Coturnix japonica: one gene and its partner. The protein of the gene in region 1 interacts with the protein of each later gene in a pairwise test. Links are inferred from orthologs where the notes say so. Each region holds a gene or a part of one and is shown in the gene's direction. Other genes may lie near its edges.

What was found.
Region 2: the proteins of POGZ (region 1) and ZXDC interact in binary tests that used the Homo sapiens proteins (3 or more experiments, as listed by UniProt). The link is inferred for Coturnix japonica from reciprocal best matches to the Homo sapiens genes POGZ and ZXDC.

What each region holds. Positions count from the first base shown.
Region 1 is NC_029540.1:2,373,147-2,377,155, forward strand, and holds the end of POGZ (pogo transposable element with ZNF domain), read left to right. Parts: intron 1-158; coding exon 159-183; intron 184-301; coding exon 302-1,874; 3' UTR 1,875-3,058; downstream 3,059-4,009. UniProt on the Homo sapiens protein: Plays a role in mitotic cell cycle progression and is involved in kinetochore assembly and mitotic sister chromatid cohesion.
Region 2 is NC_029527.1:8,255,360-8,260,997, reverse strand, and holds the start of ZXDC (zinc finger protein ZXDC), read left to right. Parts: upstream 1-2,380; 5' UTR 2,381-2,404; coding exon 2,405-3,620; intron 3,621-4,363; coding exon 4,364-4,516; intron 4,517-4,790; coding exon 4,791-4,869; intron 4,870-4,987; coding exon 4,988-5,118; intron 5,119-5,638. Other genes in the region: UROC1 (urocanate hydratase), read left to right, coding at 653-793. UniProt on the Homo sapiens protein: Cooperates with CIITA to promote transcription of MHC class I and MHC class II genes.

The sequences.
Region 1 (4,009 bases):
GGTGCAAGACCTCTCAAGGAAGGGAGGGGGTCAAATGAGCATCTGGTTCTTGCAGCAGATAGAGATGCCTGAGCCTTATCTCTGCAAAAGCACAGTGTATTTGCACTGACTTGTTGCTTGTTTGCAAAGCCACAACTGTCTTTGTCTTTTTCTCGCAGGGCCTACTTGGATATCACATTCCAGGTAAACTCTTTGTGAACTCTCCTATCATCTGTTGCAGTCTGGAGGTTGGTTGCTTGTTTTCCCTCCTGTGGTTTTATTTCCTTGGTTTTAAGAAGGCACTGTGTTCTCTCCCTTCAAGGCACATTCAGCCCCAGGACAGAAGCATGAAGAACACGTGCCCTGCCTATTCCCCCAGTAAAGCTGCTACTGTGAAAACTAAGTCTGTGTTACCCGCGAAGGACGACCTGGAGCCTGAAGTGGCACTGGCAGCCCACACCCAGCCCCTGCTTTGCCAGGAGGAAGAGTGCTTAAATATCGATGCTCAGGAAGACGAGCAGCCAATGAAGGAGACCGAACCTGCGAGCAAAAAGGAGCAGCTGTCGGTGAAGAAGCTGCGGGTGGTTCTGTTTGCATTGTGCTACAGCACTGAGCAGGCGGCCGAGCACTTCAGGAACCCACAGCGGCGCATCAAGCGTTGGCTCCGGAGGTTCCAGGCTTTCCAAGAGGAGAACTTGGCGTCGCTGTCGGAGGGCAAATACCTGAGCTTGGAGGCCGAGGAGAAGCTGGCAGAGTGGGTGCTCACCCAGAGGGAGCAGCAGCTGCCCGTCAATGAGGAGACGCTCTTCCAGAAGGCCACCAAACTTGGCCGCTCCCTGGAGGGCGGCTTCAAGATCTCCTACGAATGGGCCGTGCGGTTCATGCTGCGGCACAACCTCAGCATGCACACGCGGAGGGCAGTGGCCCACTCGCTCCCCAAAGAGGTGGAGGACAACGCTGGCTGCTTCATCGAGTTTGTGCAGAGGCAGATCCACACGCAGGACCTGCCCCTCTCCATGATCGCAGCCATCGACGAGATTTCCCTCTTCCTTGACGTGGAGGTGCTGAGCAGTGACGACAAGAAGGAGAACGCTCTGCAGACGGTGGGGACTGGTGAGCCCTGGTGCGACGTGGTCCTCACCATCCTTGCTGACGGGAGCGTTCTTCCCACGTTGGTCTTCTACAGAGGTCACGTCCAGCAGCCCGCCAACGTGCCTGAATCCATCATACTGGAAGCGAAGGAGAATGGCTACAGCGATGACGAGGTCATGGAGCTGTGGGCGTCACGAGTGTGGCAGAAGCACACCGAGTGCCAGAACAGCAAGGGCATGCTGGTGCTAGATTGCCACCGAACACACCTCTCGGAGGAGGTACTGTCCTTGCTGAGTGCTTCCAGCACTCTCCCGGCTGTTGTACCCGCTGGCTGCAGCTCCAAAATCCAACCCCTGGATGTTTGTATAAAAAGGACTGTGAAAAATTTCTTGCATAAAAAGTGGAAAGAGCAAGCCAAGGAGATGGCGGACTCCACGTGCGATTCGGACATCCTTCTCCAGTTGGTTTTGTGTTGGCTGGCGGAGGTGCTGGAAGTCATTAGTGACTCTCCTGAACTCGTGCAGCAGTCCTTCCTGGTGGCCAGTGTGCTGCCGGGGCCGGACGGCACGGCCAACTCAGCCACACGCAACGCTGACATGCAGGAGGAGCTGATCTCAACGCTGGAGGAGCAGCTGAAGCTGGGTGAGGAGCAGCAGCTGCAGGAGGCGGTGGAAGGCGAGGAGCAGCCCCAGAATGAGGAGTGTGGCGACCCCGAGATCCTCCATCAGCTCTTCGAGGGGGAGAGCGAGACTGAATCGTTTTACGGCTTCGAAGATGCCGATTTGGATCTGATGGAAATCTGAGCACTGATCTGCGAGTTGGGGATCTGGAAAGGGTTGTTTTTTCAATAAATGTTGGATGAGACCATTACACTTCCCTGTGGATTTGTGGGTTTAGGAAATTTGTAGGCGATCACTCAGATAAATAGCCATTTATGCTGTTCATTTATAAGTTTTGTGCTTTTTTAAAGAAAAATCACTGTGTTGGTATTTTCTGAAAATATATTGTGGGTGAATATTTTTGCGTTTTCTTTACCTCACTGTATCATAGTTTTCTGTTTTTATTGTGCAGAAATGTTTTGAATTATACATTGTCAATGTGACCATTTCTAAAGAAAGGAGAACAGATGTAGCTAACGAACCAGTATATAAACCTTTTGGATGTCTTAACACAGGTTGGTTCTTTTTTTTTTTCCCAACACTTGACCCAGAGCTTTAGGTTTCTGTGCTGACTTTAGGTATGAATGATTGCTTTCAAGTGTGAACCTTCTACAATTGGCCCTTACGAGTTGGGTTTGGTTTGTTTGGTTTTTTTCTTCTCTTTTTTTAATCTTATTTTATTTTAAAGAGTAATTGTTCGGCTTGTGAGCTGGGACGTGGGATCCAAACACAAGCGGAAGCGTTTTGCCTGCTCAGTGCCAGCGATGGTTCTTGGAGCCCCCGCTGCTGCCATGCGGTTGGGTCGGGTCCTCCATGGGAGCCCACCAGCACCGCCGCGCTCCAAAGAGTCCCCGAGAGAGGGTGCAGATGGAAGAGGGAAAGTCGAGGCTGCCTTGATCTTCCCCTGTAGTTGGGAGTTAAATGTATGGACCATTAAGCATTGATTAACGACGAGTAGTTGATAACCGTGCTTTAAGCAGTGGCATCAGACACTACGTTCCTTAGAATTAGAAATCTGATTTAACAAAACAAAACTGTGACATGCACAAAAAGAAGACGTTTGTTTTTATTTTTCACTGCCAGCTTAAATTTTTCTACAATTTGCATGTTTGAGGGTTTTTTAATTGTATGTATTACGGTATAAGCGGAAGCATTTTGACATACAGAATTCAGAAGCACCTGCACCTTTCTGTTTCCATAGAGGTTTTGTGAACCTGCCCTATGACCTAAGGAAAGCAGGAGGCAGCATGTGCAGACCTGTAAATGGTTCATCTTTAAAATGTACATACGTGGAACATTTAATAAAACCAGGGAAATGGATTTATAAACACGCGTTTTTATTATGCAGAGCTGTCCGGCTGTTGGGATATCATAGTGCCTCGTGGGAGACACAGGAGCAGAGCACAGAGCTCAGCTCTGGGCGGATCTCTCTGCCCTTAGGGACACAGCCTTGCTCAGAGGTGGGACAGCAATTGAAGTGTGTATGTGGCGGTCATGCTTGAGGCAGAATTCTGCCATTGGAGCTGCTTATACTCAGTGGTAGAAACAACGCACTTAATGCTCATAAATGATTGCAGGGCTGAGAAATTCCCAGTTCAAGAGGAATATGGCACGAGCTGCACTAAGTGGGGTACTGGAACACCCCACTGCTATGGCAACTCATGCTCCCATTCTTTCATTAGGGCAAATAGTGAAGCAATTGTGTATATTTCACTTAAGGTTCAGAACGTGGGAAGTGAACAGGCATCAGCCAGGACCAGAACCAGCTCAGGTCCCACAGGTGAGTCCTTCAGCTGCCATCAGCGCCACCTGGCAATGCAAAAACCTTTACGATGACACAGAAAGGGAAAAAGCTTTGTCACCTTTGGCAGAAATGAGCTCACAGTGTTAACTGGAGGTGCTGAAGGAGCACTTTGACCCAAGATGGTACGATAAAGGCACTGCCAAGGGGAGGACGACTGTAAATGTCTTTGGTGGAGCACAGTGTCTACCAGAAACCATTCAGCAAACAAACAAAAGGACATTTTGGCTGCCCTTCGCCAGGAATAAAGGACGGGGCTGTCAACCACCTTCCTGCAGTGTTATGAGGAGTCAGAACCTTCAATTCTGGACAAAGCACAAACATGGGACATCGTCTTAACAGGTTTATTTCATTTCCAAAAGAAATGGGAACTTCAAAAGGAGTTCTTGGATGTGCATCGCCCAGAAGCACGGACACAACAAAGCAGTTCTGCAGAGATCACTCGAAGCCACTGCAAGAAGAGCGTTTATAGGGTCAG
Region 2 (5,638 bases), on another chromosome or scaffold:
GGAAGTACAGTCGGGGAACGTTACCCATGTTATATACGAGGCTGAAAAGAAACTATAGTGCACCCTTAAAATACACTGCCAGGAATAGTCACAGCTGAGTGGCAGGGAAATCGGCTTGGTGACTTGAAAGGTCATTTCTAGTTGTTATCGCTGTGATCCTGAGAACTTCTTATAAGCCTTACATTAACCAAATGCTTAAATATTTTGCTAAGTTGGAATCTGGGGATTTTTTTTTTTGCCCACTTTTGTGTCTGAATCTTACAGACCCTGATACGCAATTCATAGAACAGAGAATTCTAAGGCACTGAATACAAGGAAGTACTTGCTTCCTTCTAAGTACTCCTTCCTTTTGTTCCTGGTGTTTTCCTTCATCCAGCAAACTTCTTGCACACAGATCAAACTGCAGAAGGGCTTATAGTTCCCTGTCTGTGGAGCTTCACTCATATGCTGGCAGACTTGGGCTTCTTAATTTCGTATTTTGAAAATGCACAGAGTGAAATTTGCCCTTTTAAATAGAAACTGGCAGAGAGCTGAAGGATTTATTGTGGTGAAATTGAGTGTCAGTGTTGCACAGATATCACGCAAAATGGGATGGGGCAAGAAAAATGGGTGATTTTTTTGTTTTGCACTCATTGATTTTCTGGTCTGACAGGTTGCCAGGCGCTGCTGGTCGGGTAATGGCTACGCGTATGAAACGATCTGCCAAGCAATGAGAGACAACGCCGCACTGAAAGTGACTCTTCCTCAAAAAGTGGTGGATGAGAACATCTTGGAACAAGCCCTCAGAAGTTAGTGGGAAATGCAATGTTTCCTGGCAGAAATGTCTGATACAATGTGCAAACAATAAAAGCCTTGCAATTGTCTCTGGCACTACGTGCGTTTTTTCCTTCTAACTCATTAATAGGACAGATCTGTATCTGCTTGTGACAGGTCCACTGATGTCAGAACAGCCTTTTCACTGGTATGTGATGAGTGATGAGCTGCAGTCTTTGGACTGTGGGATCTCAAGAAACCAAATAATGTTAAGTAACAAAACACCACAGGGTCTTATAAAGCGTCTACTCACTGCACCTCCAGCATTGCCTCCAGAAAACAGCAAACCTGGTGTGCTGTGTTGTTTTTTGTTTTTAATTTCCTTTAGAAATCAGTTCTTTACTCTGTTCACACAGTGTGTATCTCCAGATGAACAGCAAGAGGCTGGCATCTGCTTGCAACCAAACCTGCGAAATGCATTTTGTAGCTCACCAGAACTGCTTTACGCTGTGGAAAAAAGCACACATTGACAAGTTACACCACTGAGAGCTGAGTAGTTGCCAGCCAGATTTGACAGCCTTTCTTTAACATATGTCAGGCGTTAGCTATTAATAATCACACTGGGTTGGTATCTTGGTAGCTGTATCTCATACAAGCACTCAAGTTACTGTAGCCCAAAAGAAATGGGGCACCTTTTGTCATAAAAAACATCCAGAAAATGGCTGTTTGTGCTATGGAAGCTCAGCTCCACCGTCATCTTAATCCCAAGTTGAAAGATCTACCACAGAAAACGTGGAAGAAATATTATTATGGATTCTTCACCTTTGTGTTATTTAGTACTGAGATAACAGTAACCGGTCACCCCCTGCTGGGATGAAGCAGCTTGTGATTTCCAGCACACAGAAGCCATAGGCCAGGGAAAAAACTCCCTGAGCTCTGCTGAGCCTCCTTGTTTTTCTGCTCTCTGTTTGCAGAGAAACCGTGTCTATGAATGAACAATTGTTCTGCATCAATCTGGGGGGACGCTGATGTCATTTCTAGGCAGATGACCTCAATGCTGGAAAAACTCAATACAAGCAGAGCAGCCTCCTTCAAACACATCTGCAGTCACTGTATGAGGCCAGACAGTAGATAACAGATGAGATTAATCTCTCAACCCCAACCCACCCCCACCATGCCCATAACCACGTCCATCAGTGCCACATCTCCATGGCCCTTGAACACCTCCAAGGATGGTAACTCCACTTCTCCCTGTGCAGCCTGAGTTTCTCTAACATCCAACCTGGTGCAACTTAAGGCCATTTTCCTCTTGCTTGCTGTATGAGATACGATGCAGAATAGCTCCAGGGACACAATCATCCCACTGGAAGGATCACAGCACCATCTGCTGGGACCGCTCGAAGGGTTCACAGCTGCCGGAGCCCACAAGCAATTTGGTTCTTCCTTCTGCTTAAGACTGGAGAGCCAGAACAGACCTGAAAACGAGAACGAAAAATAGAATGAAAGATAAAACAGCCAAGCCCTGGGCAACCTGATCTAGTAAAGGTGTATGTTTGGTGGCCCTGCCAGGCAGGGGGTTGGAACTACATGATCCTTGAGGTCCCTTCCAACCTGGGTCATTCTGTGATTGTTCCCGTCCGATCCCCGCTCCATGGATCCGCACTCCGTGTTTCCACGCCGCCTCCAGCTCCGTTCCGCTCCGTTCCATTCCGTTGTTCCGCGTTTCCTCTCCGACCGCTCCATGCCCCGCCCCCCGGCTCCGGTTTCAGCCGCTGCTACAGGGACCCCCAAGATGGAAACGCAGGGGCTGCCCGCCGCGGAGGCGGCCCGGGCCCGGCCCGGCGCCCAACATGGCGGCCCCGCCGCGCCGCCCGCCGCCCCGGGCCGCCCTCCGCCTCCGCCCGACTGGGACCGGGCGGCCTCCTCCGCCGCCTCCTCCTCCGCCGCCAGCAGCGCCTCGTCGGGCCTCTACGTGAGCTTCCCGGTGCTGCTGGTGGAGGAGAAGCCGGAGTCCGGCCCGGCTCCCAGCCCCAGCGCTCCTCCGGCGGGCCCCGCTCCCGACGGCGACGGGCTGCTGCTCGTCCTCAACGTGGTGCGCGGCAACGCCGAGCCCGACTCGGGCGACGGGGATGCGGGGCGGGCCCGGCCCGGCCCTTCGCCCGCGGAGCCGCCCGATGAAGGCCCCGGCTCCGCGCCGCCGCCGCCGCCTCCGCCTCCTCCTCCTCCCCCGCCGCCCCGCGATGGAGACGGAGACGGCGGCTCGGAGGACGGCTCCTTCTCGGGGACCATCACCATCAACAACCAGAGCCTGCTGGTGCGCATCGAGAACGGCGTGCTGACGCTGGGGCCCGGCGCCGAGCAGGCCGCGAACAACGCGCCGCCCCCGGCCCAGCCGCCTCCCCCCGCCGAGCCCCCGCCGGGCGTCCCGAGGCCTCGCTCCCCGCCGGCCTTTCCCTGCCCCGAGCCGCGATGCGGGGAGGCCTTTCCCCGCAAGCAGCAGCTCCGGCTGCACCGACTGACGGCGCACGGAGGCGGAGGAGGGGAGGACGGCCGCGGGGCGGGGGGGGCGGCTCGGCCGTTCGGCTGCCCGGTGCCGGGCTGCGCCTGGTCCTTCGCCACGGCCTACAAGCTGCGGCGGCACCTGCACTCGCACGATAAACTGCGGCCCTTCGCCTGCGCCGCTCCCGGCTGCTCTAAGCGTTTCACTACCGTGTACAACCTGCGGGCCCACAGCCGCGCCCACGAGCAGGAGGCGGCGCACAAATGCGAGGCGTGCGGGCAGCGTTTCCCCAGCGTCGCCCGACTCGCCGCCCACCGTCGCCGCAGCCACCTGGAACCAGAGCGGCCCTACCGCTGTGACTACCCCGGTAAGACGCAAATGGGGCCGGGCCCGCGGGGCTCCGTGCCTTCTCCGTCCCTTCTTCCCCCTACAGCCGCCCTCGGGTCAGTCCGAGGTCCCTGCTGTGCTCGCTTTGCTTCCTTGCTGCCTCTCCTCCCTCTCCCTTTGGAGCCTGCAGGAATGTCCCCTCTCCCTGACACCCTCGTTCACAAGGGGGGTGGTTTGGAGTTGAGGGGTGCAGCTGCGATGAGGTGGTGGAATGCCAGCAGTGGAAGCACCAACCTTGTGTTGTGTGCCTTATGCAGGCGTTGGTTGTCGAACAGGCTGCCCAGGGAGGTTGTGGATGCCCCGTCCTTGTTCAAGACCAGGTTGGACGGGACCCTGGGCAACCTGATGTAGTAAAGGTGTATGTTTGGTGGCCCTGCCAGGCAGGGGGTTGGAACTACATGATCCTTGAGGTCCCTTCCAACCCGGGTCATTCTGTGATTCTGTGATCTGTTGTCCTCTTTGGCCGAGTAATTGTAATCCCTGAGAATAACTTTCTTCTCAGATTGATAAGGCGCTGCCACCCAGGGAGTGGTGGAGTCACTGTCCATAGAGGTGTTTGGGAGCCATCAAGATGTGGTGCTGAGGAACATGTTTGTGGGTGCGGTGATCGTGGGTTGACAATTGTAATTGATCTTAGGGGTCTTTTCCAAGCATAATGGTTATATGAAAGCATCTTTTATGCGTACCAACCTGATGCACTGTTTGTTTTCTGTCTCTCCCCAGGCTGTGAAAGGACTTTTATCACAGTGAGCGCACTGTTCTCCCACAATCGGGCCCACTTCAGGGAGCAGGAGCAGTTTTCCTGCTCGTTCCCAGGCTGTAACAAGCAGTACGACAAAGCATGTCGGCTGAAAATCCACATGAGGAGCCACACAGGTACTCACAAAACTGAGACCACAGGTTTCAGATTAGTTGTACTAATAATGGTCTGTGTTCTGTGATGCATATGGAGATGTGCAGTAGCCTTGAGGTAAAGAAGATGCTGATTGTAGATGAGGGGAGAGGGCATCACTGCTTGTATGTGATTTACCTGAGGTGGTGGTTGAGTCTTGTAGTCTTAAAATAATTGAATTTAAACAGCATTGGGGATTTCTTAATCTAATACCGGTGTGTGATTTGGTATTGTTAACGTGACCTTTCTTTGCTTAAGGTGAGAGGCCTTTTATCTGTGACTTCGAAGGCTGCGGTTGGTCTTTCACTAGCATGTCCAAGCTGCTGCGACACAAGAGGTAGCGTTGTCAGACTGTGCTGTTTGTTTGAAGTCCCTGTTTGTTAGGTTTTGTTTTTCCTTCCAGCAGTCAAAGCAGTGGATGCAGTCTTGCTAATGGTGATTCCGTTTGTTTATAGGAAACATGAAGATGACAGGAGGTTCACGTGCCCGGTAGAAGGCTGTGGGAAGTCCTTCACAAGAGCAGAACACTTGAAAGGCCACAGCATAACCCACCTTGGTACAAAGCCATTTGAGTGCCCAGTAGAAGGTACTGCTCAGCTCTTGCATTAACTGGTAACTGCTGTGTGCTGTGTAAATAGAGGAAAGCTCAGTGCTCTTCACCAAACACAAGCTAGTTACAGGATCACAGGGAGTCTTCTAACAGGGTCTGAACAGATAAAACTGAAGGTCTATTGCTTCAGTTGGACTCCAGGAATGTAGAAGATTGGGTATGATCTGGAATATTCACCTTCACAAAATAAAACAGCTTGGTGGTTGTTTCTCCTTTTAATGGTTTTACCAGCCGTTATCACCAAGCATTTTCAAGTAAAATGCCACAGAGGGGAAGGAATAGATTGAATGACTTAGCATTTCTTCTTGTCAGAAGTGGCTTGCTGAGCTGTCCTATCCACTTGATGTAAAACGAGAGGTTGTATATTTGGCTTGCTTCTGAGTCCTCTGAATGTATGTTCAGATGCTACTGACCAACAGAGAGTTGTGATTTGTTCTGTAGAGACACTAAGGCTGAATGTCAGGCTATAACTAGGTGAATCCTTAAAGCCATCTGT